2 linked regions of the Alligator mississippiensis genome follow. The protein of the gene in region 2 interacts with the protein of the main gene of each other region in a biochemical or structural test. Links are inferred from orthologs where the notes say so. Each region holds a gene or a part of one and is shown on either strand. Other genes may lie near its edges.

The links.
Region 1: the proteins of HIP1R (region 2) and CLTB form a complex in vitro, tested with the Homo sapiens proteins (2 studies listed by BioGRID). The link is inferred for Alligator mississippiensis from reciprocal best matches to the Homo sapiens genes HIP1R and CLTB.

The regions. Positions count from the first base shown.
Region 1 is NC_081832.1:79,157,108-79,173,172, forward strand, and holds CLTB (clathrin light chain B), read right to left. Parts: upstream 7,894-16,065; 5' UTR 7,795-7,893; coding exon 7,653-7,794; intron 7,525-7,652; coding exon 7,478-7,524; intron 7,173-7,477; coding exon 7,037-7,172; intron 6,926-7,036; coding exon 6,814-6,925; intron 6,530-6,813; coding exon 6,476-6,529; intron 6,080-6,475; coding exon 5,908-6,079; 3' UTR 4,523-5,907; downstream 1-4,522. Other genes in the region: NOP16 (nucleolar protein 16), read right to left, coding at 1-23, 187-293; HIGD2A (HIG1 domain family member 2A, mitochondrial), read left to right, coding at 500-617, 1,086-1,306; FAF2 (FAS-associated factor 2), read left to right, coding at 8,251-8,313. UniProt on the Homo sapiens protein: Clathrin is the major protein of the polyhedral coat of coated pits and vesicles.
Region 2 is NC_081833.1:5,415,064-5,430,516, reverse strand, and holds the start of HIP1R (huntingtin-interacting protein 1-related protein), read right to left. Parts: upstream 7,854-15,453; 5' UTR 7,772-7,853; coding exon 7,679-7,771; intron 1-7,678. UniProt on the Homo sapiens protein: Component of clathrin-coated pits and vesicles, that may link the endocytic machinery to the actin cytoskeleton. Binds 3-phosphoinositides (via ENTH domain).

The sequences.
Region 1 (16,065 bases), on a different chromosome or scaffold from region 2:
CCCAGGCATGGCGGATCTGGGCGCTGCGGGGAGAGGCCAGGTGAGGTGAGGGGGGAGAGGCTCGTCGGCCCAGGGGCTGCCACCCCCGGCAGGTGAGAGCGGACCGCCCAGCGCTCGCTGGGGGCTGCAGAGGCCCCCTGCCTGGCCCGGGGGTGCGAGCCGAGCCCCCCCCATCCCGGGCCGCACCACTGGACGCGGGGCGCGGCGCGCTGGCGGGCGGCGCGGTGCAGCCGCTTGCGGTTCACGCTGTAGCCGAACTTCTGCCGCCGGCTCTTGCCCTTGGCCTTGGGCATCGCGGCCACGCGCCCGCCGCTCGCTTCCGGGCCCGCCGCGGGGCCCGCCGGGAAGGGTCGTCCCGCCCGCGCGCGGGACTACAAGGCCCGTGGTGCACCGCGCCGCCCGGAAGCCGCGTGGCCTGCTGGGATTGCGGGGAGGGGAAACCCCCGCCCGCCCGCCCGCCCGCTTCCGTGTGTCGGGCGGCGAGGTGCGGGTGGCGGCTATGGACCCCGGGCGGCCGCCAGTGATCGAGGGCTTCGAGCCCAGCGCCGCGCACCACCAGGAGCGCTTCTCCGACAAGTTCAAGCGCAAGATGCGCGAGAACCCGCTCGTGCCCATCGGTGAGGGCGGGGGTCATCGGGGTCCCGGGGTGGGGTTCAAGGGCCGGAGGGCAGACGAAGCCCGTGGTGGGGGTCAAGGGTCAGGGACACGCCTAGGGAGCCGGAGGGGTCGAGGGTCTGAGCAGTCGCCGGTGGGGGTCAAGGTCAGATGGAGGGCTAGGGTAGGGGAGGGGGGGTTTGAAGGGTCAGAGAGAACCCGGGGGGGGGTCAAGGGTCAGAGGGAAGTTCAGGGTGGGGGAGGGGAGTCTCGGAGGGGTGAGGGCTTGAAGGTCCAGAGGGGCCAGAGAGAGCTCCCTGACCCTTGACCCCCGCTGGGACAAGTGGGGGGGGGGGGAAGTATTGGAGGGTCAGAGGGAAGCCCAGGCTGGGGTCGGAGGTCGGAGAGCAGCCCAGGGTGGAGCGGGGGGCCAGCCCGGGGTGAAGGGGCAGCTCCGGCCTCCTGCCCACCTGCTTCCCGCGTCCCCGCAGGCTGCCTGGGCACCCTGGGGGCTCTGACCTACGGCCTCGTCTGCTTCAAGAAGGGCGACAGGCAGCAGTCGCAGCTGATGATGCGGGCCCGGATCCTGGCGCAGGGCTTCACCATCGCCGCCCTCATGGTGGGGGTGGTGGTCACGGCTCTGAAACCCGGGAGAGGAGGCCAAGCCGTGGGCACCGGGACCGCCCCGGCTGCAGCCAATACACCTCCGTGATTCAACCCCAAGCCTGAGCCGTGAGCTTTCTTGCCGCCAGCGGCACTCGGCCTTTCCGGGGTGGCAGCGTCTCCGGACGGCCTTCCCGCCTGGTCTTATAAAAGCGGGCTGGCATCGCCAGCGGGCAGCAGGCCGCGTGGGAACCCATGCAGGATCGCGGCATACATGGAGGGTTAGAAGGACATTGGAGCAAAACCCTTTGGCCGGGAGGGGACAGCCCTCCTGGCTGGTTAGATGCTGTCCAGCGAGCGATTGCGTCCCGTGGTGGGCTGTGTGATCTGTTAGGTGCCCCCCCTTCCCACTTGGGCTTGGGGCTAGTGCAGTGCAGGTGGCAGCAAGTGTCTGGCCCCAGTGCAGCAGAGCAAAAGGGCCTTAAGTAGGATGGAGGATGAGGACAGGGGCCTGCTCCCACCTTGGCCTAGCAGTGCAGATAGGACGTGGCCAATGCAGTCCCCCCTTAGTGCGGATGGGACATCTCCTGAGCTGGGGCACACTTGCTGTGGGGTCCCTAAGGGTGGTTTTGCCAGTTTCTAGCAGGATTTTCACTGCATAAAACTTCTCCCCATGGCTTGAGAACTAGACCACACTGTTCTGCAAATTCAGATCCCAGAGGGAACAGCCCTGCCTGCATCTGCAGATGCCCCAGGTGATAAAGTCTATGCAGGTGCATTAGACCGGGCTTGCTGTTGAGTGGAGGAGTCCCAGAAAAGGGTAGGAGTCTCTTACTGAGGACCCTTCTCTAGCCAGCGCTGTCAGAGCTCCAGGAGCTACGATTAATCTCTTCTTCTGCCAGACCCGCTGGGAGGGGAGTGCGCGTGTGCAGTGGAGTGCGATGTGCTGGTGGGCAAAGGGGCAAAGCAAAGGGTAGTGATGCTGCCAGCCAGGTGGGCCCAGTCCTGCCTGGGGCAACACCTCTGCGTAGCCCTGAAACCTGCCGGTCGGTGGGAGGTTTCCCCTGGAGTCGTGGTGCTGCGCAGAACCGGTGTCCTTTGTGTCTGGGGAAGAGCTGCTGGGCCCCAGGGGCAGGAGCATCCGGGTTCAGCCAGGAAGAAGCAACATATAATAAACGCTTCCAGAAAGACATTCGTATTTCAGCTTCGTCACTCCCCCCTCTCCCAGGGACAGACTGCACCAGGCAGCTGCACCACAGACACCCTTCCAGGCAAGGGGCCACTGCTCCTGTCCAGCCCAGCCAGGCTCTGAGCCACTCTGCCAGAGGGACAGCATGCCCCAAACCCCATGAGAGGCCCTGGAGCTAATCGGCTGCTCTGAGATGGCATAGAGTGCACCGTCAGCAAGTTTGCAGATGACACCAAGCTGGGGGGAGTAGTAGATACACTAATGTAGGGCTAGGATTCAGAGAGAACTAGACAAATTGGAGGATTGGGCCAAAAGGAATCATAGGAGACGTACACCCAATGGAAGAGAGGGGCCATCACCAGGGAGGACTACACCTCAGTTGCTTGGGGCTGCAGGGGGCGGTCAGGAAGGCCAAGGCGGAGATGGGACTGGGACTAGCGACCCGGATCAAGGACAACAAGAAGTCCTTTTTTAAATACATAGGGAGTAAAAAGAAGGTAGTAGGTAAATGGGGCCTCTGCAGGACCTAGTCAGGGAACTTCTGGTGGGACTAGATGTGTTCAAAATCAGCAGGTCCTGACGATCTCCACCCCAGAGTGCTGAGGGAATTAGCAGAGGTCATTGCGGGAACCCTGGCATGGCTTTACGAGCACTCGTGGTGCCAGAGGACTGGAAAAGGGCGGAAGGAGGACCCAGGAAACTATAGGCCTGTTAATCTTAACCTCAGTCTTGGGGAAGCTCTTTAATTATCTGGGTGCACATCTGCAAGGGGCAAGCAGGGGAGATGGGTTCATTTGAGGCAGGTCCTGTTAGACCAACCTGGTGGCCTTCCATGACCAGGTCACAAAATCCTTAGATGCAGGTGTTGCGACGGACATAGTCTTTCTGGACTTCAGGAAGGCCTTCTCATTAATAAACTAGGTGACTGTGGCGTTGATGCCTACAGTCAGATGGGTCGCTAACTGGCTGGAGGGCCGCACCCAGAGAGCGGTCGTGGACGGGTCATTTTCAACCTGGAGGGCTGTGGGCAGTGGGGTCCCCCAGGGCTCGGTCCTCGGACCCGCACTGTTCAACATCTTCATCAGCGACTTGGACAAGGGGCTGAAAAGCACCTTGTTCAAATTCGCAGATGACACTAAGATGTGGGGGGAGGTGGGCACGCTAGAAGGGAGGGACAGGCTGCAATCAGACCGGGACAGGTTACAGGGGTGGGCGGATGAGAACAGGATGGGTTCAACACTGACAAGTGCAGGGTGCTGCACCTGGGGAGGAAGAATCAGCAGCAGACCTACAGGCTGGGGAACTCCCTTCTCGTCAGTGCAGAGACAGAAAGGGATCTTGGAATCATTATTGACTCCAAGATGAACATGGGCCGACGGCATGGGGACATGGTCAGGAAGGCCTTGTTGGCATCCACAGATGCGTCACGAGCAAGTCCAATGTGATCCTCCCCCTCTGTGCGGTACTGGTCAGGCCGCAGTTGGAGTACTGCGTCCAGTTCTGGGCACCGCACTTCAGGAGGGATGTGGACAGAATGGAGAGGGTCTAGAGTGCCACCCGCATGACAAGGGGGCAGGCCCCAGGAGGAGAGGCAACAGGACCTGAACCTGTTCAGCCTCCACAAGAGAAGGCTGAGAGGGGATCTAGTGGCCATCTATAAATAGACAAAGGCAGACCAGCAGGCAATGGGGGAGTCCCTGCTCCCCTGAGCACTACCTGGAGTAACAAGGAATAACAGCCATAAGTTGATGGAGGGTAGACTCAGACTAGACATCAGGAGGCGCTACTTCACAGTCAGGGCAGCTAGGATCTGGAACCAACTTCCAAGGGAAGTGGTGCTGGCTCCTACCCTGGGGGTCTTTAAAAGGAGGCTAGATAGTCACCTTGCCGGGGTCATTTGACCCCAGCATCCTTTTTTGCCCGTGGCAGGGGGTCGGACTTGATGATCTGCTCAGGTCCCTTCCGACCCGACCAACTATGAAACCAGCTCCCCCGCCCCACTCCCACCCTTTCCTTTACCCGGCTCCCGGCCTCCACTTGCCAGCAAGCCTGTGGGCTCCCAGCACAGCAGCTGCTTCCGAGTTGCCCCTCCAGCCTGAACGAGGAATGAGTGAGGAAGGAAAGGGCAGCACCTCCTGGGTTTGGAGCTGTCAGTTTATTTGTAACAAGTGGCTTGGACAAGGTCACAGATACCAAAGCTGGGGACACACAGAACAGCCACAGGCACAGCCCTCCCCAGAGCCAGGTGTCCCTTCTCTCCCAGGTGACAGCAGCAGTCAGGGCCGGCTGGGGAAGCCTGGGGGCTCCTTCTCTCTGCGGGGCGCAAGCAACAGCCTCCCTGGGGCTTCCCAGAACAGAGTGAAGGGGGCTCTGCCAGCAGCTGCAAGAGTGAGGTAGGCCCCACTCTCTGGCCCCTGGAGCAGCAAAGGGGCAGGCAGAGCTGCCTAGGCAGAGCTGTGGGCTGCCATCCCCTCCTCCCCGCACCAGCTCAGCCCCAGCTGTGCAAAGTAGCACACTCCTGTCCTGCCCTGCTGGGCAGCTCCACACCCAGCCAGCAGCCTCCTGCACCCCAGAGCCAATGCCCTGCAGAGCTGGCCTGGGTGGGGCTGGAGAGGGTCTCCTAAGGCAAGGCTCAGCCCATGTGCTGTGGACTTTGCCCCGAGTTCCCTGCCAGCTGTACCCAGCCCTCCCCACCCACCAGGTCCTTGCAGACAGGTGGCTGAGCACATGCCCAAGAGGTGATATGGTGTCTACGCAGCCCAGCAGGGAGCAGATCTCAGGCTCCTGGACCAGGCCTCAGCACAGGCTGGGATCCCAGGGCTGGGGGCTGAGCCACAAGGGGTTGGGTCAGACCTACCCAGCACAGAGCCAGCACCTGCCTCTGCTACCAGCAAGGAGCTTGGGCAGGGGGCCAAAGCCTTGCTGGGAAGAGTCAGCCACCCAAGCTCAGCATCCCCTCACAGCAGCAGTCATCAAGGCAGCTCCATTCAGCCTGGAGCCAGGGGGCGGGAAGCTCTTAGTGAGACCCAGAGGACAGGCTCCCTGGGGGAGGCTCCTCCCTTGCCCTGCTCAGCATCTCCAGCCCCCACACACCACCCCAGGCCAGGCCAGGCCAGGACCTCCTGCCCACCCAAGCCCCTGCCCCAGCCCTGCACATCCCAATTCCTCACGCGCTGAGCCGCAAGCAGACGGTGATGTCACACTCCTACCTCCAACATCACAGCCAGCCTGGGCCCAGGCACCAGCTGGGGAGGGGGTACCTGCAACAGGGGCCTGGCAGGGAGGAGCCCCAGCCCAGCCACCCCACCCACCACCGAGGGAACCACCACGGTAATAAATAAGTGTAAAAAGACCAACGCACCCTTTAAGCAAAGGAAAACCAGGGGGACAGCGACAGCCACCCGCCCGCAGGAGGTGCTCGCGGCGGGGGCAGCACCCCTGCTGGCCACCACGGGCCCCACATGCTGCGCGCATCCAGGCAAGCTGGTGGGGGGCCGTGCCCCTGCGGCGCTCCGGCTGGGCTAGCGCGCCAGGGGCGTCTGTTTGAGGGAGATGAGCACCGAGCGCATGCGGGAGACGTCCTTGTTCTGCTTGCTGCTCTTGGGGTTGAAGTCGCAGAGCTGCGCCACCTTCTCCCACTCCGTGCCCGGGTCCTCCTCCCTCGACTCCTTCAGGAAGGCTTCCTCCGAGGCCCTGTGGGGAAAGGGGGTCAGCCACTGTCTGCCCACTGCCCGCAATGCCCCCGTTTCCCCATGCCCCCCATCCCTCGGGCACAGGGGCTCTGCAGTCTGGTTAAGAACAGGCTCCTGGCAGGTGCACAAGCCCAGGGCTCCTCTGCCACCCCAGAGACCCCCCCCAGGGGGGTGGGCTCATAATGCAACCCCCATGCAGCCGCCACTTCACCCCCTTCCTCCACACCTTGCAGCTCCACTCGCTTCTGGGGACTTCACTGTGGGAGGTGCTGGATGGACACCCCCACCAGACCCCAACAGCCCTGCAGACCCCCACACCAGGCAGAGGGAAATCCCCAACCGGAAGGACAGAGAAACAGAAAGAGAGAGGGAGAGAGCGAGAGAGAGGGGCACGTACACATAGCCAATCACATCGGCGTCCGGCTGCTGGTAAAAGGCTTTGTCAGCAATCCTAGCCCAGGAGCAGCAGACAGAGAAGTAGCAGAGTGACAGGCAGGCAGGTTAGACAGACAGAGAGGGCAGGTGTTAGTGCCCGCGCACCGCCGGCAGGAGCACGCCCCGCTCCACCAAGCAGAGACCCCGGCTACGCCCGGCCCCTGCGTGGCAGGCAGTGGGGTCGGGCTGACGCAGGACCCGGGCCCCCAGGACGAGGCCTCGCACGGGGAGAGATGCCCCTATTTCTAAGCACGGCTCCTCCCTGCTCCAGGAAGGTCCCCACCTCCCCCCCGGCCACACCTGTTGTTAACCCGGTTCTTCTCCATCTGCTCAACCTGCCGCAGGTTCCACTCCTCCAGGTCCTTCTTGGCCCTCTCGCGCCACTCCTGCTCCAGCACCTTGGAGGCAGCGTCTGTGGCCGGGGCAGAAGTCGGTCACGGCGGCGCGGGCGGCTCCGCCCCAGGGGGAGGTGGGGGCGCAGGCTGGCTCCCGCACCCTGCGCGCGCCCCTTCCCCGTGCTCACCCAGCTCCTGCAGCCGCTGCTTTTGCTCCTCCCTCCACTTGCGGAGGCTCTCGGGCTCCTGGGTCAGCCGGTCCGCCTTGGCGATGGCGGCGTAGGCGTCCGTGGGGCCGTTGGACTCCTGCGGGACACAGCCCCCCTGCCCCGCTGAGTGAGCACAGCCCCCCGGGGCAGCGGGCTCTGCTCGCTCTCCCTCCCCCAGCACCACAAGCAGGGGGCTGCTCGCCTGTGCCCCCCCCGCGGCAGCCCACACAACCCAGGTGCCCACGAGGGGCTTGGTGACATCACACCCCTGTGATGTCACAGCCGCCCCCCGCCCGTGGGGGTGCCGGCACCCCGAGGATGACACGGCGGGCGCGGGGCGGGGGCGGGGGCGGGCGCGTGAGTCAGGGCAGGGCGAGGCGAGGCTGGAGCCGCTCCCGCCCGGCTCAGCCCGGCTCGTACCTGGAAGAGGTCTCCGTTGAGCGCGGTCGCCCCGTCCGGCGCCCCGGCTGCACGCGAGGGAGGGAAGAGGCGGCGGGTCACGGCGGGCAGGGCGCCCCCCCCGGCCCCGGCCCCGGGCCCGGCCCCCTCCCGCGGGCAGCCCCCGCCGTGCCCCGGCCCCAAGCGCGCCGCCCACCGTCCTCGTGCAGCGGCTCCGGGCTGCTCCCGGGCCCGGGGTCGCCCTCGATGCCCGCGATCTCGCTCTCCTGCTGCGCCAGGAAGGCGGCGGCGGGGTCCTCCTCGGCCGCGCCCGCGAACAGCCCGAACTCCTCGGCCATGTCTGCGCCGGGCGGGGCGGGGCCGGGACGCGCGCTGGCGTCACCGGCGTGACGTCATGGGCGGGGCCGGGGGCGACGTCACGGCGCGGGACTGCGGCACGCGCGCACCAGCCCTGCCAACGGCTGCCTGAAGCCTTCGGCCGCTTCCGGAAACCTCCCAGCGGCTTCGGGTGTACTGTCACGTGACCGTGGATAGCTCGGGTGTTTCCGGAAACCTCCCAGAGACTTCGGGCGGGCGGTCACGTGGACCGCTCGGGTGTTTCCGGAACCCTCCCAGCAGCTTCGGGCGGGTGGTCACGTGGAGCGCTTCGGAAAGCCCCGAGCAACGACGCCGAGGGGAGCGGAGGAACGCCCTCCCGCGACCCGTCCGCCGTGGGGGGGGGGGTCAAAGAGGACCGGAAGTGTAGCGTCACTTCCCGAGAGTGACGGAGCGGCGGGTCAAGAGGCGGTAGCAAAATGGCTGCGCCGGCGGAGCGGGAGCTGACGGCGGAGCAGACCGAGAAGCTGCTGCAGTTCCAGGTGCCGCGGCCGCGCCGCTCTCGGGGCCCGGGCGGGGGAGGAGCAGGAAGGCCCCGCCCCCCAGGGTCTGTAGCGCCGGGATTGGCCGCTGGTTACCGGGGCAACGCGGCCCTGGGCTGGGGCCTTCCCCCCATGACTGGGCCGCGCTCCCCGCGCGCACGTGCCCGGCCCGGCCCGGCCCGGCCCACAGCGCCTCCTCTGCCGCCGCCGGCTGCCGCGTGGGGTTGGCCCGCTCGGAGCGCGGCCGGCAGCGACTCCGGCGCGGGCCGAGGCAGCGTCAGGCCGCCCTGCGCAATCCAGTCACGGGCCGGGAGGGGGAGGGGAGCGGAGCTCGGGAGTCGCGTCTAGCGCAGCCCCGCTCCACGCAGGACCGGCCCGGCCCGGCCAGGGCTTTGTCTACCCGCCGTTTCACCACCTCCGAGGGTGGAGACCGCACCACCGCTCTGGGGAGCCTGCTCCAGTGCTTCGCCCTCCTGGAGACTGTGCTGTCCTCATATCCACTCTCAACTTCCCTCGCTGCAGCTGGAGCCCATCGCTCCTTGTCCAGCATCTGCCCCACTGAGACCAGCCCAGCTCCATCCTCTTTGCAGCCCCCCGGCAGGGAGGTGAAGCTGCTATTCAGCCCCCCTCAGTCTTCCCTTCTGCAGACTCAGTCAGCCCATTTCCCTGAACCGCTCCTCACCAGTCCTGTCCCCAGCCCACAACCATTGTCAATGCCCTCCACTGGACTCTCTCCAACGTGTCCACATCCTTTCTGCAGCGGGGGCCCGCAGGTGGACACAGGACTGCAGGTAACCTAACCGGGGCGCAGCATAGGCAGCCCGCCCGAACCTGGTGCAGGTATGGCAGGGGACCCGTAGTAGCCACCGTCCCGTTTCCATGAAACGTTTACGGATTCGCAGAAGGTTAGGGCTGGAAGAGACCTCGTGAGATGACGCAGTCAGTACATGCTCAAGCGATCCCAGGGAAGGGCCCCCCCCGGCTACTGAGGAAGCTAAAACCCCCGTCGTCCGTGCCTGTCTGACCATGGGGTAAAATTTGCAACGTGATGCGTATCAGAAGACCAGAGACATCAAACGGGAACCCAGAGTGTCAAGAATACATGTATTAATATTGGAGCCAATCTTCTGTTGCAAATGAATCAAGAGATCAGAAATATATTTGTGCCCCGTTGTGTATTTTGCGACAGGAGATTGGCTCTGGTGTTTGTCTGTGTTCAGAAGATGAATGAAAAGCAAGAGCTGGCAACTTCCACGCAGGGCCTCAGATCTAAGGATGAGTGCGTCAGAGCGAGCGAGGGGTGAAGGTTGAGAACCACTGATCTAAATTAAGGGCTTTGAGTGGATCAAAAGACCTAACATTTCACCCAGTAACCCAAGCAGATAACTTGTGGTTGGTTGAGCTGTTTGTTAATCTCCGCTGTGCTCAGCGTGACAGCATGTAACTACTATGAATCGTGGTCCTTGGGCCTCCAGTCATGAGTTGAAGATCCCGGGTGATATATCAAGGTGATATTCCAGTTGTGATCAGACTACCGATGTTTTCAGTCTAATCCTCCTGAGTCTCCAGACGGGTTCAGCACATCTGCAGCTGCTGCTTGGCAGCGGGGTGACCGTCGAGGCGGTGCTGGGTTGGAGCCGTTGTTCAGACCCACGTTGCAGCAGTAAAGCTAAAGTGTGGGATGGGGCTTTGACAGACCAGGGTGTATTTCCCACTCTGACAGACCTCAAATGCCATTCAGTATTTATGGCCGTTCTGTATGCATACTGTTTTGCAGAGCCAGGAACATTTAAAGCAATGGAGCTAATGCTTCTAGACCTCAGAGATGGTCCTTCCTTCTACTGCACCCTTTCCTGTTTCTCAGTTACTCTGTCCCAACACATAGTGGTCAGTAGGTGTTTGAAGCTTAACTGCTGCTACTAATTATTTGCTTTTCTGTGTCACTAACTGCTGATGAACTTGATGCTTTACGCATCTTCATTACATTTCAAAATCCCCTTGTAGGCTAAGTAAATACAATTATGTGCATTTTATTTAGGGGAAACCCAGGAAAGGAGAGAGGGACTTACCTAAGGTCATGCAAGAAATGTGATCATTCTGATTGTAAGGTGTGTGTGGCAGAGGGTTTCTTTTACTTCAGATCATCCCATAGCAGCCACAGTGGAGTTCTGGTGCATGCTAGCGATTTCTGACTTTTGCTGCAACACAAAAAGGCAATAGTCATCATAAAACATGCATGTGTCAGGGTGGAGAATAAACCTCAACTGTTGCACACACAGTCCTGGACTTAACCCACAAGAAATCCTCCTCCTCATCCTCACTGTCAGCTTGAGTACAATGGAGGCAGTTTGCCCTGTGATGTGCACTATGGAAATAAGTAGACAGAGATGGTGGTCTCTCCAGAGAGAACACTGAATTTCTCTTGAAAGGTATTGGGCCCAGCTTGTGCAGTTCTCAGAGACCACAGGGATTTCTTCCTCTGAGCAGTTTTTCAGGCAGTTTTTAATTGGAAATTATTAACCTGCCATTAAGGCTGAAAGACTATCATGAGGACTGTGACAGATGGTGAGTAAACTGAACAAGAGGTAATTAAAGTGTTGCTGCTCAGTAATGAGCTGAAATATCTCAACTCTGGTTGTTTTCAGAATTCATAGATTTCATAGACATTAGGGCTGGAAGGGACCTTGGAAGATCATCAAGTCCAGCCCCTGCCCAAAGGGCAGGAAGTCAGCTGGGGTCATAGGATCCCAGCTGATTCCTATAGCTTCGGGTGGTTTGGGTTAACTGCATAGTTGTGTACTGCCCATTGTCTTGGCAGTGCTGTCTTGGAGTTGCCCTGCTCATAAACATTTGAATTCATAGTTCTTTTCAAGAACATTTTGCTTGAAGTGAATGATTCTTTCAACTTCACTTGTTTTTGTCAACGGCTGTGGTAGGCAACTCTCAGTCCTCTGGATCATGTACACAGAAGAGGTCTGGTCAGGTGTCCTTTAGTGTTAAATGATGCCCCCGTGCAGGGTAAACTACTTCCAAGTCACAAACAGTATTAGCGCTTGCTGCTCAAAAGGAAGTGTAGATGTTTCATGTGTAAGTGATTCAGCTGTTGGTTTGTGCAGAAACAAAGCTTTACTCTAGTCATGTGAATTCCATCCTGTTTGTCAATATTGCCTTCTAAATATGAAGCCAGTGTTAAAGGTTACTGTCGTTGTTACCTTGCTGAATCAGGACAGATAGCACCAGCTGCTCTTACCACTTTCACTGCTGCCCACAGGGCTGTGAAAATAGCAACAGTGGAACTGTCAGGATCACGTCTTTCCTTCTGCTGCCTTGGAGTGCAGAAAATGGACCAGAGCAGGGACCTGTGGACTAAGGGTATTAATGAGGGGGGGGAGGACTGAAAGGAAGTAGGGACAAAATACTGAGATCTTTCTGGGCAATGAATCCAGCTCTTCTCAATCCCAGCTTTAGTATCACTTACTTTGTGATCTTTATAAAGAGCCATGAATTCTTCCCAGACAGCTTGCACAATGCTGCAGAGGCTGCAGGAACTTCTCAAAGGAGAAGTCCCACAAACCTCACAGCACCCAGCTTCAGTGTTTGTGAACGTTGCCTGCAGAGCACTGGGAAGACGTAAAGGACAGCGAGTAGTTCTGTGTAGTGCTGTAGAGCTACAAGGCACTTCATGCACACGCGCATTCCCTACTCACGATGTAAACAGGACGAGGTGCAGGACAACAGTGAAGAGGAGTGAAGGGTGTGGGAGCTGGTGAGGGGAAGAGGAATTGCTTGATGGGAGTAGTACAGCAGGAGTTGAGTTTGGCATTTGAGGCCCTAAACAGCGTTCTCGTTGCAGCACAACAGAAGGAATGCGAGAGAGTGAGGGAGGGAGATTGAGGAGTGAGAAGTATCTAAGCACAATTTGAAGAGATGGAATTGGGATAATAAGCATGGGGGAGGGGGCAAGGGGAGAAATTAGTGTTTTGCAGCAGCAGTGACTGGGAGGAGAAAGTAAAGTTTTGCTTTCTGACAAGGCTGTGTCTTGGGACAGCTGTAGGGAAAAGCTACGTGTGAATTGGCTTGAGCAGTGCAGAGTGATGGGAGCTAGAAGGAACATGAAGCAGATATTGTAGGCTCTCACTGTACAGTGTCCATGATGGCATTTCTGGCTTGACTCTTGCAACTTATTTAAACTTCTGTGTGGCAATGTAATGCTACTGACCACTGGCTTTCTTCCACAGGCATGGGATAGCTTCATTTTCAGCGAAACAAGGAGAAGTTTGCACAAAAGAATATAGTCTCTACTAAAGGGAGCGAGAGGGAGGGATTAATTTGCTTGGAATCATGATTACTGAAAGTCAAGTAATGGAGCGCTAGGTGAAGACATCTTTCGCTTAAGGGGGTGGGAAATAGGGAAACTCAGTAGCAAACCCCTCTAATATGCCGGGTGCTGCTGCAAACCTCAGAATCTTTGGTATGCACGTTTATGACACGCAAAGAAGCTCTCGCCGAAAAAGATTTGGCAAAGGCTTTTGTGCTGCTAAAAGTCAGATGTTCTTCACCCTTGGAAACATAATTCTCTGGAATTTGGCAGTGGGCTGGGAATTAATAGCAGTGCCAGTTGTAGGCTGCATGGACACGCATCTTTTATGTAGTGTTTCAACGCAAGCCTGTCCAGGGAAGGAGAAGTTTCCAAACAGTCCAATGTACAAAACCTATACTTTTCATGCTTGCCCTCTTGAGCAAATATCAGCATCCTCTCTCCACTGCTTCGGAGTGAAGTGTCAGTATTTTAATTGACATCCTAAGGCTGAAAGGTACAAACTGGATGAACCTGCTTTGCAGTATAACAACAATCTCAATGTACCAAAGTCCAAGTGACGTATAGAGAGAGATGTTGAACTTCTCAGGTCCTTATGTTTTGTTGCATAGGGTTTCACTGTTCTTGGTCTTCTGGTGTTTGAAAGCCCCTTACCCAGTATGTCAGTTTTTGAGCTCCCATTCCACATGGAGGTGATCTTTTTGAGCCCCTCTGACAATACTGGTTTTCTGGGATTAGTTTCTTATCTCTATTTATCTAAAGATGGAGTAAGAAGTAAAACAACTGGTCTAAAAGGGCCCATCCTCTGACTTTAACGCGAGACACACTGCACATAGATATTCCGGTGATGGAAGCTGTAAAGGTATCTGAGGTAGGTAAGTAGGCACAAAAGAAGTAGTGATTTCCTCTTTACAGAGGAACATCACTGAGTGCTTAAAACCAAGGATGTTTAAAAATGTGCTTATCTTTTCTTGCATGTGGCTAGTAGAGCTTGCAGGAAAGCCCTTCAGGTGTGGACCATTGTACAGTCCACAGAAAAAAGCCCTGGACCGTAGGAGTGAAGTCCAAATTAAAGTGTCTTGCTTGCTTCAGGCTTCTTATGTGGCCTCTCTGCAAGAGTGAACTAGAGAGGGTTCCCAGAGCTTCAGAGAAATGGTATTAATGCTTTGCCAGTGAGATTTGTTTAAAAATGGCTTTTGACTGACAACTGAACTGTAGTCATACAGCTCCTAACTCTAGGGGAAGATATTTTTAACATCACTGAGCTGATTTCATGAGCACCTGAACGTGGCGGTGAGTGCTGCTTCGTAAGGGGATAGCAGACGTGGTCAGCATAGGAGGCCGCACCTATGCAGCCAGGTTTGGAGGACTGTTCCCAGCAGGCAGGTTTCCTGTGTGCAGCAGTGGTGGGAGGACTGATGCAGACAGTGTTTGGGTGTCTTTGGCGCTATGCTTTCTAATCTGTCTGGGGCAGCTGTCAAGGTAGGCCTCCTCAGTGCTGTTAAGATGCCCAGCCTGGCACTGCCCTGTGCCGTGCAGTCATCCTAGGTGACATAGGCAACAGTGCTGTAGGCTAATCTACACTGTTGGAAGCTGCCACTTTGGACAAGGCCCCAGCTTTACCCAGGAACACAACTGTCCTGCCAGAGGGATGGCCAGGGAACCATGTGGTGAAGCGCTGCTTGCCAAAGCCTTGCTTAACCAGCTTTGTAAGCCTCTACAGCTGCCCCAAGGATTCAGTGCTCACTGAGTGCGATAATGTTAGAAAATGACAGTGGTGTATAATTGCTTTCCAGCCTGAAACTGCAACTGCATTTGCATAATTCAGAAATGGAGAGAATGTTCCATCATGCAGCCTCGTTAACAGTGCCTAGTCGCGACTCTGATCTGTAGAGACAAAGGTGTGAATGTGTTTCTGCATCTTGTAAATGTGCAAACGCTGGCATTAAAAGAGGTGGTGATCAGGAGCTTTGCAACACATGCTGTAGGAAGTCTTAGCTTCTCCCTCCTAAAGCCCAGCTGCATGAATGGCTTGCTTGCCCAGGGTCAGTGTGCATGTTAGTGCCTGCCCAGGGTCATTGTTTGGGAAGGGCATCCAGAATGCACGCTTTCCTTACAGCTGCTTGTTGTGTACCTGTACGAGCTGACAGCCAAGGGTGCCCCTTGGGAGTCTGGCAAGGAAAATGTTGAGTGTAATTCAGTGACAGCAAATCTTGTAAAAGGGATCTTAAAACATACCTCGTGGTCGTGAAAGTTGCTGCAAAGCAGAGAGCATATTTCAGCAGCAAAGCAGGCCTAGTTTGACTTGAAGATGTACGAGCAAGAATGAAAACCAGCTGGAAATACCAGATTTACATGAAACACCACAGCTCAGGGCCCTGCTGCGGATGTACATCTGAATAAATCAGAGTGCATTATGACTGAAACTTCTCCTTCTTAATTGACCACAGTCTAAGTGGCAGAAGAGTTGAATTTCTGTACCTTTCTCTCTAACGCTGGGGAAAGGTCTGATCTCTGGCAAATAGCAGGGAGGGGTAGTGAGAGTGAAGCAGAAGAGTCTCTGGTCCAGTAGACAGGAGAGAAGAGGGAGAGAAGGCAATGTCATGGGGCTGGAAGGAGGAAGGAAGTGAAACAAATTGATCACAAGGTACAGAGCAGAGTCCTGACCTGGTCCCAGGACTAAATCTCCAGCAGGGATTTTGCTGTCCAGGTGAAGCCAGTAGGTGTAGGTAGAATCCAAAATGCTGAAATGAGGGGAGAAAATCAAGCACCTGGTACATGGACCATCCTCTTCCATGTGGAAACTGTAGCTCCAGCCTCCCAGTAGGTTCTCAGCTGAACAGCCAAACATCACGTTCCTAATGATCTTGGGAAACGAGGGGAGATCTCAAGGAAACCCAAGCAGGAATATCAAGAGCAGGCTAGTGTGGATGGTGTCTCCAGAGGCTGACCGAAAGGGTGGATGTTGCATTCCTGCTTTCTCCATCCCAATCCGGGCATGTGCCTCTCGCAGAATACCAGGGGCCCCTAATGCAGCAGGGAGCAGAGGTGCCCTGGCCTTGGCCAATCTCTTTAGGGCTCAAAACTGTTTTCAAGTGCCAAATAGGAAGGGAGTTTGAGAGAGCTTGTTGCCCTGAGTTCGCAGCCAGGACTCCGGCGGGAGGCACGGTGTTCGTTCTGTTTGGCTAAGAGACCCCTTCTGCTTGGGCGGCTTCCTCCACAACAAACAAGGTCCAGTTTAGCATCAGGACTGCAGCACCAAGCAGCCAGAATTCACAGGAGCTAGACATACCTGGTAGATAGAAGTGCAAAAGGTGGCCCCCGGGAGCCTGGATCCCCATGCACCCTGATGGGATCCCATAACCCAAGGGGAGGAGTGAGGAACATGGGCTTTTCACCAGTGTAATTCCCTGGCATCTGCCCTCTCTACCCTT
Region 2 (15,453 bases):
CCTTGGCCGAGTGCCACAGCGGCTCCACCGTCTCTCGAGGAGGTCGCCTCGGCCCGGCGCGTGCGAGAAGGCCTGTACGTCACTGCGAGGCAGCGAGACAGAGGCTCATTCATGCACTATTGACAAACAGTCACCCGGCCTCCGAAAACGAAGGCAGGCGGAGGTGCTGCGTGACTCCAGATCCGAGGGCGGTCTAGCTGGGTTCCGGGCTGGCTGCCGTCCCTGTGGCCGCGGGGGTAACCTGAGCTCAGGATGTAGCACCGCTCCTCCGCCTGCCTGGGAAAGGTGGAGAGGGGGCAGCCAGGGCCCTCAGAGCCCGGCTGGGGAAGGTTCATCTATGCCTGGCCATGTGCCCAAGTTTCTGATCCACACGAATCACTTGGGTTCAAACCTCCACCGAAATGCCACACAAATCCCCCCTGGGGCGTTTCTGCAGAAGAATGTGTTTGGGAAATTTCCAAGCATGGCCAAGCCCAAAGGAAGGCTAGCCGGAGAGGCCTCCTCGAGCCAGACCTGGCAGGGTGCTGCAGCCAAGTTACCAGCCTGTGCTTCGCCTCGTGCTCGTCATGGACCAGATCAGCCAGATTACTGCATTCGCCAGTCAGCTGGGGCATCTCTCTGATTCATCAGGTTCCCTTCTGCGGAAATACGGGTGGGAGAGCAGGCAGATCCGGTGGCTGGCATTTCGATGAATGAGTCTGCATTCTCCCTCTGATGAGACATCACTAGAGACCTCGCGTTTCCCTGTGCCTCGCTGCCCTATTTTTGGCATCTCTGCAGTGTCAGCCATGGGTCTGACTTGAAACAGCATCGCAGGGCAGGTCCGATGTGCTGACCCCCGGGGGTTTCTGCAGAACTGGGGCTTGCTTTGTTCACATTTGTAATGTGAGAGATCACTTTGCCGCGACGTGGTACTGCCTTTCCAAATCTGCGCAGAGGGAGCAGCCCTGACATCTCATCCCTCTCACCCCAGCTTTGGTGCTCATATCCCTCCCTGAACTTTCTACGCTGCTCCACGGGGTCCTTTCACAGCATCTGATGAAGCAAACTCGAGTTCACAAAAGCTCATGCTCTCTCTATATCTTAGTCTATAAGGTGCGCATCTATACTGCCTCCTATCCATCTTGGGTGTTCAACCCTGTGCCCAGTGCAGACCCATTAACCCGGGAACGTGGTTTGCTCCTCCACCGCTGCTTGTTTCTACCAGTAACATCCGGCTGTGCCGGGATTCTGCTCATCACACCTTTCCCTCCAAGCAAGCAGACCCAGGCTGACAGGATGAGCTGTGTAGACAACATCGCGCAGTGTGTTTGTGGCCCAAATAGCAGATTACATCAACAACTGCACTTAGATGATGGTGGGACTGCCTTTGGCTTCCTAAACCACTGACTTAGACACCCTCTCTTTTCTGTGCCTACCACTACTCTTGCAGTGCAAAACCACAGCAGAGCAGACAGCAAAATTAGAAGCTGATTCTTAGAAGGGCTGGGAGGAGCCCAGGGCTGCAGATACAACAACCTGACACCTGAAAGCAGGTCTTGAGGTTAGGCCCAGGATGGGGTGTCAGGGCCCCCTCCCCAACTCTGAAACATGTCCCGTGTATCTCTCGGCAAAAAATAGTTGTAGCTCAACTCCTCCAGCTGTGAAATGGGGATCATAACCACCAGCCTCCCAGCCAGGTTTCATCCCTTACCCTTTATCGAGTGCTTTGAGAGGCTTAGGTAAGAGGTGCCATACTAGGTCAGTGTTCGACTGGGCTGAAACCTCATATTTGCATAATCAATCAAATGGATATTAATGCTATGTTCATCCTTCCTAGATTTCCTCTAGCTGAGCCATGGATATCTTCCTGGATTCCTGCTTCCCCTACTAAGTGGTTCACTGGAGTCAGAGCCACCCCTCCCCTTTCTTTCCCTAATCAAGGCTGTGGTTGTACTGCAAATGGGGTCCACGTGTCCAGCAACTTTCCCCAATGGGCCAAGTCTATTACTCAGACCCAACAACCTACCCAACACAATGAGTACAGCTCACGACTATGGAGTGCAAATGAGAAAGGCCAGGTGCTCACCTCCCCTTTCTTTCATTCCAGGCGTCTAATTACCACCCAACGCTTCCACCCACATCCTGTCACCTGTTCTGCCCAGGGCAGGCACCACAGGCTCTGGAACAAGCCAGCCTGAGACACTGAAGTGCTATAGCCTTACACGGTGGAGGTGGACGTCCAGTCCCTGCAAGGCCATCCTCACGGTTTATTGTTGGTAGCCTAATATTGCTCTGTAAACCTTTCGCTGTAACTGGCACTGCATTTGCCAAATCGGCCCTGCCTCCAATGACCTCTTAAAAGCAAGCAAATTAAGGGATGTGATAAGCGACACCCGGGGAAACACACCCTGTATTCTGGAAATCTGCTTAGTTCATAGGACTTTCTAATTTAGCTGAGATGCTCATCCCCGACAGTGAAAGGAGTGCAAAAGTCAGTGGCAATACAAATATATTTCTGTCCCAGCTACACTTTAAAGCAGGAAACTAGGAGTCAGGATTCCTGGGTTTTATGCTCTTGGATGGTCCTGTATTACTGACATCTCCAGTGTGGGTGTGTGAAGACATGCCCTCTGGGTACATCTGGCCCAATGCATTGCTTTTCTTTTGGGGATGGGGACTGGAACCCCACAAACCTTCGGGTCAAAGGAACTCCTGCCCGAAATATTTCAAATTCAAATAGCCTCCCTGTGCCCTGCAAGCACTAACAGCCCAAACATCACATTGCTGAGCTAAGTGCACAAAACCCTGAAATGATGATCTTGGGTACAAGGAGCAAACAGCATGAAAAAATACTTCTATAAGTAGTATGAACTCCAAGAGGAGGAAGCTGGAGTTCCCAGCACCTGCTGGACTGGGCTGCACTATCCCATCTCACAGCTAGTGTTGGCTTTTAAAGTGCGTGTTCCTGCAAAGGGAGAAGACACCACAGGGGAATAGATATTATCCCGAAGGAAGTGACTCCGGATGAGCAACAGAGGCAGTCAGGAGAGGGACAGGCACCGCTCGGCTTTGTGCAAGGAAGAAATTTCATTATGAAACGGAAGGTGTGCTCAGGCCCCGGCGCCTGCATCCAAACAAGCTTCATTTCCATCAGGATGGCGTCATCTCCCTGTTGGCACCTGCTCCCAGCCGGTCTGGGCGGAGGATGCGTACAGCCAGTGACGGGAGAGGCCCCGTACCAGGAGGCGAGGAATGTATAATTTCCATTCCCAAATAATCTCAAAAGCCGGGAGGGGCCAATTGCTACAAGTTCCTGGAACCGATCACTCGGTTTCAGTCTCTCGATTGCAACGTCGGAATATTTGAGGGACACGCTCTTCAGCAAAAACCACCGGCTCTGCCTCCGGCCAATGCTTGCAAGAACACTGTCAAACCCGTGGCACAGCGAGGGGCACCGCCTGCTCCACGTGACACGCTGGAGCTCCACCTGACATAAAGTCAATAATTAGTCATTACTTACGGCAGCTGCTGAGATTAATGCTCTGAAGTTTTAGGATGCTGCCAACTTCTGATTCATGGAGCTCAGTCATTCATCCATAGGACGGTGAAGGGGCCTGGGCTGGTCAGGTCGTGGTACGAAGAAAGGAGGTCAGTTTTGTACAAGCGGTACCGGTATTAGCTAGAGACGTCTGGGATTTCCGAGCACAAATTTAACTGAGACACTTTCCTGCAGCTACCCTACTTACACCATCGTTTGCAGCAGCAATACATTTAAAGGGACCCCTGCACCTTCCAGACAGAACTAAGGTTTGATTTAACCATATGGGGCATCACTATCCATGCCCTTTGCAAGAGGATTACTATAGTGAAAACAATTTCTCAAGATACCTGTGTGTAGACACTAAATTAGGTTTATTTGCCAGAAAGTTATTTGGAAATCTGGTCCTACACAGACCAGTGGGCACACAAACAAAACTTCAATCCATCTGAAATCTAGCCAGTGTGGGATGAGTAATTTAGCTTTGGGCAGCAACCCGTCACGTCAGCTAATTACTGGGTTATGATTCTATTTTTCTGTTTCTCCCTCCCTTGCGTCTGGGTGTGAAACCCACACAAAGACTACAGGGGAAACCAAGGGAGTGACCCGATCCAACGGGACATCAGATGCACAAAATAGTAATAAAAAAATCATCAGGGGAATTTTCTCTCTCTGGTCTTACACTTACAGGGCAGAATTGCACCTTATAGGCGAAGTCTCCCCTGCCTTTCTGCCTGACTTCAGACTAACACAGCTAACTACTCTACCTCTTTCTGCTCCTAGGGTTGCAGCCGTTGTGGCAGACAGTCCTAACATTAAAGTTGGTCTGTTGCAGGGGAGAAAGATTTAGCAAGCAGTAAGCAGGCTAGGAAGCAACGCGGGGCATGGTGCCCACGATCTTTTAGACTGCTGGCTCTTTGGGGCGGGGGACGGACCTCTGCGTATGCCCGGCACAAAACACAGCCAGCACTGGAGCGCTGACTATTCCTAGCGATGGATGAGATTTTGGCCCCAGTGCCAGACCGAGGGTGCAGTGTTACTGTGATCGCATGACACCCCCCTGGACGGCTGGGAGCCAATACCCGGTGTGCACATCTAGGTCAGGCATACGGCAGTGTCTTGGGGTGACTGCACGTGCCTTACTGCACCCTCCGGCCCCAACAGCATCCCGATCCAGAGCAGAAGGGAGACTAGGAGGAAAGTAGCACCAGGGCTTTTGGTAGCTTTGCACGTCCATGGCACGTTGTTGCATGCCTTGCCTTCTCCAGGGCGTGGGGAACAGGCTACCTTGAGCAGGAATCCTGAAGACACAGCAGCCTATAGTCTGAAGCAGCAGGTCAGCTTAAAAGCAAACTGGGATCCATCGAGGCAAGGCCACGAGGCTGCGTGCATTATTCGCGGAGAAACCAACTAGCTACTTCCTTGTCTGAGAAGGATTTGATTGCTCTACAGATCTTTCTGCAGAGCTGCCCAGGGAGGGGAAGGAAGCAGGTTTGCACACCGCAGGGCAGACCGGCCTGTTTGCAGCACATGAGAAGCAGTAGAAATGACAGCCCTGTCCATGACTAGCTGCTGCAGGAGCGCTCAGTCCTCACCTCCCGCCCTGCCTCTCTGTGGCCTCCCCCTCCCATTCACAGTGCTTTGGGCCATCCTGCCTGCCACCTGAGATCAAATGACTGCTGCAGTTATTTTCTTAAATGAAAAGGAGGCAGAAATGCTCCCAGACTTGCCCCATATCCCCCAGGTGCAAAGCATTGGGAAGCCAGGCATCCCCACCTATTTTTGCTCCTGCTCTTCCCTCTCTCAGTCACTTGGCACAAGGAGGGCGCCTAACTCCCTTGCACTTTCACAATGACCAGAGTGGCTCCATTTAACATCCTGGACCTTTCCCTCCCAGAGGGCACCCTCGATAGGCTCAAGAGTGGAACAAACCAGGGTTTGTGTGCTTAGTCTACAGAAACGAGCGGCTTATGGTACGGCAGGATGGGACAGCCTCCTTTTTAAGTAGGGTGATCGTGGCAGGGCAGGACCAAAGTCACTGGAAGGGCAGCTCGCAGCACACTCACCTGAGCTGCTTTGTGGGGAGACAGACTACTGGTTCAGCAATCTTTACTGCTGCTGCTCCCTTAACCTTCAGAGGCCCAGCTGTGTGCCAAAGGATCAGGTGTCCCTTGTCAGGCCGGTGCCATAAAACTTTCTATTCGGTAATTTGCTCACATCTGGAGCTTTTGCCCAGGAGATAACACCACTGGAAAATATCCTCCGCGGGGCTGACTCTGTTCTCTTGGGCGATCCTTTCAAATGATATAGCCACCGGCATCAGTGACAAGTGAGCCAAGAGCCCCAACTTAACATGGGGAGGAGCTGCGTTCGTGCGCAGGGGAAAAGACACTCCTCTCCTGGAACCTGAGTTACGGGGGAACGGTTTGGTTTTGCAACAAGGGCGGAGGGCTGGAGGGAAGCTACGCGGCTCAGCTCGAGCCACCGTTTCACGTGACTGTTGCTTAAACTTAAATCGACGTCACATTTGTACACGCGATTATTCCGCTCGAGCCAAAGCCAAACAAGCAAGCAAACATGGCTGCCCCATCACCGAGACATCCCGGAAAGACGCAAAATCCAGGGTCACAAAGCGAGCGACGGGCAGGGGCAGAGTCCTCTCTAATCAGCACCGCAACCGGCACAACCAGGTTTGCTTATTGGGAACCGCTCTGTCAACATGAAGGGAAAGGGGATTCTCCCCCAAGCCCAAGCAGCACCACGAGCCCCGATTCAGGAACGCACATGGGCACTTTGCTTTTGTGCATCATCCGCAGAGCTATTTACGCACGTCCAGGAGGAGTAATTATGCTTTTCTACACCAGTATGTGCACTAGCAAGGCCTTAACGATATGGATGCTTTTGTCCACATTTTGTAACTGCCCTTATGCTTAGCGTTGAAATATTTTTCAAAAGCCTTGTATTCTACCTTATGGATTGTAACCGGACTGATCTCTTAATTATCTGAGATGTGGACAAACGTTGGATTTTGACTGGCGCACGGATAGCCGACATGACTTACGAAGGCAGCACGCAGGCAGCCAAGTTAGAAATGACAGCCTCTTGTTCAGCGATAGAAGGGAAAACTCTCAGCAAACTTAGGTTGCGTAAAACTATTTGATCCCATTGGTGTCCTTTTTAGGCTGCAGCCGGCCTTTCTTGACCACTGCGCAGTTCACAGCTCTCCATCTTCGGCAGAACTGCAGCGAACGTGGCTACCAGCACGGATCTCCCCCCCAGCAAATCCAACAGACTTGCCGTGAACAAGTGCTCTCTCTGTACTTGGTTAAAGGCATGACACGACCAGCTGTCCCACCCATAACACGACCGGCCCACACATCGGGCCTGTTAAAGCTCTTCTCCAAAATGACCCAAAAACATGAGTCCCGACAGGCTGCTTCTCCACCGAACGTAAGCTGAGAAACACAACTGCAAATCCACAGGCGTTTCTACCCCTGAGTTTTAAGCTGTCAAGGGCGTACAAGAGAGGTGGGCAAATAGTTCATCTGCAGCCAAGGGGAAGGCCCAGGTAGATTTGCACCTTACAGACTAACCAAAGTAGACAGATGCTTTGGTTAGTCAACGAGTCTACAGACGTGCCCGGCCTCCTCAGTGCTGGCTGTGCCCAGGAGGACACGGGGGCCGAGCCACCTCCTCGGGCAGCAGGAGACCCACCGCGAGTGCCCGGGATCGCTCTACTCTGGTAGACGACAGCGTCTCAAGCCCGCACTGTTGGTCTAATAAAAGAGATCACATGGACCCAAAGAACCTCGCCTGCCTGTGTCCTCAGCCCAACACGGCGACAACCAATGCCCCCCACACCTGTTTCTACTCCTCTCCCTCAAGTCGGGTTAGTCTACAAGGTACAAATGCACCCTTTCCTGACCGGAGACTAACTCTACCTCGCGCAGAAGAAAACCGCGCCGCGCCTGGTCAGGTGCCAACGGACCCCGGGCTAGCCAGCGGCCAGCCAACCTGCCCTCGGTGCCCGGGGGCCAGCCGCCTCCCAGGGGAGCAGGACACCCGCTCGAGAGGCGCCGGGGCGCGGGGCTGGAAGGGACCTCGTGGCCCGGGGGGCCGAGCCCACGTGCGGGAGGCCGAGGAGCGCGGGGGCCTTGCCTGGTTGCGGTCGAACTGCTCGCGCTCCGCCTCCAGGCTGTGTCCGACGCGGCGGCTCAGCACCCGCGCCGGCACGCTCTTGATGCTGTTCATGGCGGCGGCTCGGCTCCGTCCCGCTCCGCTCCGCTCCCGCCGCGGCTCCTGCGGCCGAGCCCGGCAGCGCACAGCGCCCCCCGCTCCGCTCCGCTCCGCCCCGCCCCGCCCGCGCCCGGCTCCGCCCGCCCTTCCCCTCCCTCCTCCGGGAGGAGCCAGGGCAGCGCTGCCTCGGGCTCGCGGGGACAAGGCTCCCGCCCGCGCCCGCCTGTGCTGGGAAGGGCACAAAACCTCCACGCTCGCCCGTGAAAGGCACTGTCTGCACAAGGCAACGGGGACTCGCAGCAGAGAGGAGATCTGCTAGTAGACAAGGATTTTTGCAAAAATCTTGCAGTTACATTTTTGCCATTAAAGACCCTTTTTTTTCTTGCAAAAATCTTACAATTCAATTTTTGCAATTAAAGGGTTTTTTTTTTGGCAAAAATCTTGCAATTCAATTTTTGCAATGAAAGCCTTTTTTTTGCAAAACTCTTGTTGGTCTAACAAAAGATCTCATCTCTACTACGAGTCCCAATTACCTTTTCCTCTAGACCAATATGGCTTCAACCTGGATACCGGACATATGAAGGATACTGAATTTTAGCCGATTTAGAAAAAATGAAAATCTTCATATTTTCCCCAAGCAGGAAGCAACTCTGACCACCTGAAACCGGAGATCCTGCTCCTGCCTGTTTCAAGGTAATTTGCATCATGACATCCTCACAGGAGGTGAGAGGCTTCATACCAGCTATGAGCAGACTGCCCCGAGGAGTCCTATGAAATATGAATTTTCATTTCAACCCAGGAGAACGTTTACAATCCTTTCTCCAATGCCTGATGAAGGGTGTTTGTGCCCGAAAGCTTGCAATTGAAGACATCTTTTTGTTTTGCAAAAATCTAGCTGGTCTAATAAAAGATCATCTCTACTTGGAGTCCCGATTGCCTTCTGTTCTAGACCAACATGGCTACAACCCAGACATCTGACTGTCTGTATAAGAACCCCCCTCCAACCCCATTCAGCCACTGCAGCCTGTAGGGACAGGGCGTTTACCAAGGAAAAAGCCCGAGCAAGAGCACAGGAGGTGCTGAGCGGTGCAGCAGAGAACAGGTGCCCAGCACCTCCAGCATGGGCAGTCTAGGATTGGGAAAGGAGCTGCAGATGCATCACCTCAGAGGGTGCAGCACCTGTTTCTCTCTGGGGGAAAAATAAACTAGAAGGTTAATTCGTATGCCAGCGGCCTAGGGCCGGATGACTGAGTTTCACATGGAAGCAAAAAGCCAAATAAAACTTCCTTGGAATGAGTTCTCCCGGGCTGTGAAATTGGAGCTGTGTTGCCAGGAGCAGCAAACAGACAGCAGCACGGCAGAAGAAAAGCTCTCTTAATGGGGGCACATCAAGACCACTGAAAGAAGGGAGGGTAGTTCATACCAGCGGAATGAAGAGTTTAGAAGGAAGCAGGTCGATTTTCACAAGCCATGAATTCAGCTGATGCCCTCACAGCTGCCTGAGCAGAAATGCTGCTGCTACTGCCAGGCAGGTGGTTTTCAGCTTCGGAGCAGGAGTCGAGGGGGATGCAGTTGCACCCCTTGGCTCTATGTGCTATGGCAGGGTGAATGGTGAGCCTAGGTGAAATAATGAAGTGACCCACATGGTTTAAAAAAATTACCACCATGGAGGTTTTCCATTTTCAGGTTCTTGTCCTAAACCCGTTACCTTTGGATCTGAGCTCTTGAGTGGGGTATTTTTAAACGAGGGAGTCATGCTGTCCTCTGGGGACAGTAGGTAAATTCCTGAGGACTACCCACTCTCCACCACAGGTTTTTTTGTCTGAAAATTCACCAAGATGACAGTTGTAGAGTTCACCGACTGTTCCTCTCTGGGGGAATCACAGAGGGGAATGATAGATCTTCGCCTGTGTCCAGCTCAGAGCAGACATGAGGCAGGGCTCTTACTGCAGAGTGAATTGTGAGCACAGGCAAGGACAAACCAGTCAGCACCAGTTCAGGTTGCTCTGTTAAAAGGCAGGGTGTGCTGCAGACGTGAGAGCTGCTTTGCTTGACCTCCCCAATTGTGATCGCAAATCCTTCCATTTCTTTTGTGGGGAAACTGGCCTGAGTTTCCCCACAAAAGCAGTTCTGCGACATGTGGAAAAGTACCGCAGACCTTGGTAGCACTCAGCTTGGGCAGAGATTTTGTCCTTCAACTGAATTTGTTGAGTCTTTTTTTTTTGCTAAAAAAAAAAAAGGTTGAATATTGCCAGTCAGTTGGAGGTAATTTAGATTTCTTATGGTGTGCTTTTATAAAGAGGTATCTAGCCACCAATATCTCTGGGTGCTGCATACACATCTACAAAGAGCCGTGCTAAACACAGTTCACACTCGATTGCAACCGACATCCAATGCAAACAGGAATCACATAACAACAGCGCAAGCAGTTCCACACATGCTTGACGTGTGCCCAACGCAGCTTACCATTTCTGCGCTCACAACCAGCAGAGCAGACGCGAGCACAGGGATTTCCCTCCTGACTCGTTTATTTTGCCTATTAGCAGCTCTTCACAGTTTCCATGACAGACACTGATTTTTTTCATGACTGCTTTGCAAGTGAACTACAAGAGAAAAACTTGTTAGACCCAGCTGATACGCTGTTACCATCTACGCACAGAAGTCAGAGAAGAAAAACTTTCTGAATTGCACTTATCCTACTGGTCTTCCTGAGACAGGATTAATTAGCAATACTACACGTGCACTGCGTATGTTTGAGCTGTTCCGATCACTTCTACCATCCTGTAGTCACGTGTTGTCAGACATCTGAGCACTGCTATCGGTTACATAGCAGCTTTCTTTAGGAGCTGAGAGACTTGACCCCAAGGATGTCAGTAGCAGGACTCCAGTTAAGGACAAAGATGATGCGCGAGACGATTAATTTGTCTGTCTTCACTGTATAACTGGTAATTCCGCCGAGGGTGTATCAGCTTCTCTATTGGATGGCCTTCCTATAAAAGAAGCACACTTTTTGATTATCAACTTTGTTTCTCTATACCGTCTACATTAATGGAAAGTGTACACACTACTAAAAAGAGAGATGAACCTCTCTGCTACCTGCTTCCCTCCTATAATTAGACAGGCCGAACCCAAGAGAACACCTCTGCCCAAGCTGAAAGCAGGCAGCTGTTAAATGGAAGCCTTGTTTCCTTTAATAACAGTATAGTCTATGAAGACAATAGAAAAGGCACACCCTGACTTTGTCATGTTTCCAAAAATAAGTCCCATTCTTAGCTGGCTGATATAGTTTGACTTTCCATACAAAGCCTCAGAGCACAGTTGATAACAGGGTTGTTTTGTACATTAGGTAATATGCTGATACTTTAACCCTAACTTCCCACCTCTTGCAGTTGTCGGGCATTGCAGTTCTCCTGTGCCTCAACAAGCGATGTTCTGAAGTAGATTAAAGATACAGTGGCAAGGAGGTGGGAGAGGTGACAGCTCTGTAAAAAGCATGCAGGGTACAACCATAGCGCTAACCTCCTGCAAGTTTTCTATATCCAGTTTTTTAATCCATTTACTAAATAGTTACATAACACTGCAGGTAACGTAAAAGGTTATGCTCATTTAAAATACACTTGAAGTGCTTATATTTTTTCACCTTCTCTTAATGAGTTAGGCAGATATAAAACACTTCTACACTGATAAAGTATGTGGCAAAAGTTGCATTTATCTGACCTACCAGGAACCCATCAGGGTAAAACCTGTGTATAAACCATACAATAGCGCTAGCTGTGTGGTTTTAGTGCTTATGCGCTTTGCCCTCCTGTGCCCCACTGTAATCAGTTAACAATAACCCTTGAAAATGGGGTCTAGATCACTTAACAGTGGTAGTGGGGGAGTACAGAGGAAGGAGGGAGGTACTGACTTCACAAGTGAATTTGGAAGACTGCTTAAAACTCATCCTCTGCACAGGTGCAATCGAGAAGCAGGGACTCCTGCCTCCTGCCAGGGAGGCAGATACAGCCACGAAGCATGCAGGCTAGTCTGGAAACCTACATCACACGTCCTACAGAGCCTTAGTAAAATAAGCATGTGTCAAGTATGAAATGAAGATATGCAGGCAAGACATTAAGTAGCAAATGTATCGTGTTTATTAGCTCATATGGCCTTTTATGTTCAAATTATTTTCAGAACATTTCAGGTCTTGAGAGACTGAAGATAAGAAAAATAGAGTTAACCTACTTAAAAGAGCTGTGTACCTTAAATAATGGCTGTTGTCATAGCCTACTAAAAAGTCTATACAAACATCTGAGCTAATAAGAACCTTTTGTTACAATAAATAGCCCAGGACCAGGGGAGGGTTATTTTGCTCATTCTGTGGATGAAGGTTCTCCAGTTTCAGCATCGTAGGAGGCATTTCCTGGTTGCAACACTAATTAGCAATTTCCCCAAAACATTATTCAATGCCTCCTTAGGCGGCAACGGTCCAGAATAAAACAATTGGTTTAAAAAAAAAAAAAAAGTGAACACTGGTGTGTCACATAACCATTAAAAAGGTAAACCCCCCCCCCCCGACTTGTTTTGGTTTAAAAAGCAACCCCTTTGTGGAATAAACAATTACATATTTTACAGTCTTGCTTATAGGCAGTAAGCTACCCTTTAACCTGAGGATGGATTTCACAAAGGGAGTTGTTTGTGCTGGCATAATTCAGAGCTCTGCTTCACAAACACATTAGCTTCCAGCATGCAGTCACAGCTTTTTGGCACCCGGGAAACTTGCAAATACAGTACTCTTCAGAGGCACAGGCAAATGTTAAGCAATTGTCCCCTGTAGTGCATACGTGGTGACGATCTTCAGTTCTCAAAGCTTGTGGCAATGCATCAGGACGTCTCCCATGTTCCTTCCAAAGGGTGCCATTTTCTTGCTTTCCAGACAACAGGAAAGCAATCTGGTTGACAGAAGGGGAAAAAAACCTCATTTAAAACCATTGGAAAGTTACCAGTAACTCTTTTTTTAGGTTACAAATCCTCATTTCCTTTTGGGAGCGTAATAGAAATGGCAATAAAGACAAAATAGATAATACATTCATGTCCAGAGAGGAGCCCCCATGAGCAGGCTTCCTTCGGGACATCACAGGCATGTTGCTAAAAAAGCTCTTTCCACCTCTGCGTTACCTCTGAGCAGATCAGCAATTCTCACATTGCACAAGGCCAATTCCTTTTACCCTTTGACACCAGGACAGTCAGGATTTACAAGCAGTGGCACATGCCATAGCTGCCAAAGGAGTTCTAGCACCATTTTGCAATTGCTTTCACCTTTCTGGGGCTTCAAGACTCCCTCCAAATCACTCTCTCATCTAGAGGAAAGGATATGACTGAGAGTGCCAAAAACTGGCAGTCAGAGAGGAAAGTAACCTCTACAACTTATACAGCACCTTCCACTTGAGCATTTCAAAGCAATGTAAAAGTAATTGTACAAATAAATGTTTCACTCATCCCTGGGCTTATGGTGGACTTTTTGTGAAGATTCCTTTTGATTTAGTTATGCACATTTCTACCAGAGACTTCAGTGGTAACTCAAATGAATTCTGCAATAGCTGGTGGGGTATTCCTTAAGAATGCACAGCGATTTGCAGGCAAGTCCTTTTCTTTTTGGTCTGTCTGGCTTTTTCCTGGCTGAAGGCACTGAGGTCATCCATGTAAAGTTAGACACTTTATGGATCAGGACTATGGTGTTCAGCATCCCTCAGGACTGAGACCCATACCTGGTACCCCTAGAGCCAGCCTTGTTTCCAGCTCGTTTTTGGATACAAATTAAGGTGTTGCTTTTAATCCCTATTGTCCTTACTCGGTTAGGTATCCTATCTGCATCAGGGCTTGTCTCCACAGGGAAGGTACTGAGAAATAAGCTAGGGTAGGTATACCATGAGTATAGAGTCAGCAGAAGAAGCAGCTTCACATTTATGGCACAGTAAGAGTCCAGCCAAGGAGTTAGCCAGGAGTAACTAGTACTCCATAAATTCATACCCTATCTTACTGCCGAATCATTCCCGCATGTAAACAAGTCCTTTGTGCTTAGCAAGCTTTAGTTTGAAACTGCAGGACACAAGGTACTTCAGCATAACTCCTTGAACAAGCTTAGTGTCCACATAATGTCCAGGGTAACTTAGATTACCTGATCCAGAGGCACTCTCAGCCTGAACGTGCAGTGCGTACTGAGCATTTGCAAAGAGAAGATTCACATCCTTATTGTATGCCATCTTTCCTAGGCAGACAAACATTCTGATACATGTAACATGAGGGGAGTTTTTGCCAACTTTTTCCTATGGGGCCAAACCTGATTCAGGTCAGGATGGCTGCTAGCGTTTTAATCACATCTCGCCCATGAGCACAGGTCTCAACAACATGATGCCTAAAATGCCTTTTGCATGTGCTGTTTCCACTAATTTTCCAACTAGTGAAGTTAGACTGGTGGCAGCAATAGAGGAAGTTGTTTTGATCAAAAAACCCAACCAACTGTGGACAAGACTTTGAGGCAGCGCCTCTGTATCCTCATACTTAAGATCAGCTCTTTTCAACTGTCTCTGGGTTTGGAGACCTGGGGGCTGGAAACAGGATGTGTCTGGCAGTCATTCCACCATGTTTATCCAATGCCCCAGGCCATGATCCTATAATTTGCTGCATGTGGAAGACCTGACATACCTTCACTTCACACGGCTTTGAAGAGGCACGGCACACAATCCACGTGGAAGAAACGGCAGACTGGGACTTCAAGCTGCAAGACCTCAATGGTCAGACTTTCTGAGGGGAATACTTGAGGAGATTTTTGTTCTTGATTGACTTAGGAGTTATTGGGTGCATTATCTAACATCCGCTTGCTACTATATTGTCTCATTTATATGGATTTTATTGTGAAAACACTTGAAGCCTTGTGTCAAGGCCCATCTGCAGTGGATAAATCTGTAGTTTTATTAGCACTGCAGGTAGGTTTGCAAAAAAGTTCAAAGCAAACAGCAAGACAGAAAAAACAGACTTACTCAAGGTCATAATGAAAACAGTGAAAGCTTGGACTTGCTTTCTTCAGCAGCTGGCAGTTGCGCTTTGCAAAGAGCTTCTGTAATTTCTATAGCCTGTAACACAAACAAGACAGACACCCTACGTACAGATGTACAGACTTCATGGTGGATCATAAACACTAATGTTACTGCAGAGTTCTAACTGGAAACAGTAATAATTATAGGCTCCCTACCCCAGGCTCCTTTTTCTGTCTCACTTGAGAGATGGCACACACATTATTCAACCCCATCTGAACACTGTGCAGCTGAGATGGCACAAAATACAATGTTATGTTATAGAGACTCTTTCATATAAGTCACTGATACAGTTACAATGTAATGATTAAAACTGTGGCAGCGGAGTCAAACTGAGAAGTAAAAGGCTCAAGAAAAGAACGATTTGCAAAAAGATGGCCTCACTGATGTCTAGAAAAATATAATAATCTCCAACCATTAGTATACAGCTATAGCACTTGCTCCTGCTGATGGAAGAAAATAACTGAACCCATTAGAGAACATAACCCAGCAGAAACAAACCTCCCATAGCCAAATGCTTATGTTGGGCTGGTGTCAAACCATGCCTCAAATTGTTTCAGAACCAGTTTAACACAGCCTCTCGTGCCATCAATTTTCACACAAATTAGCTGACTGGGGCAGACT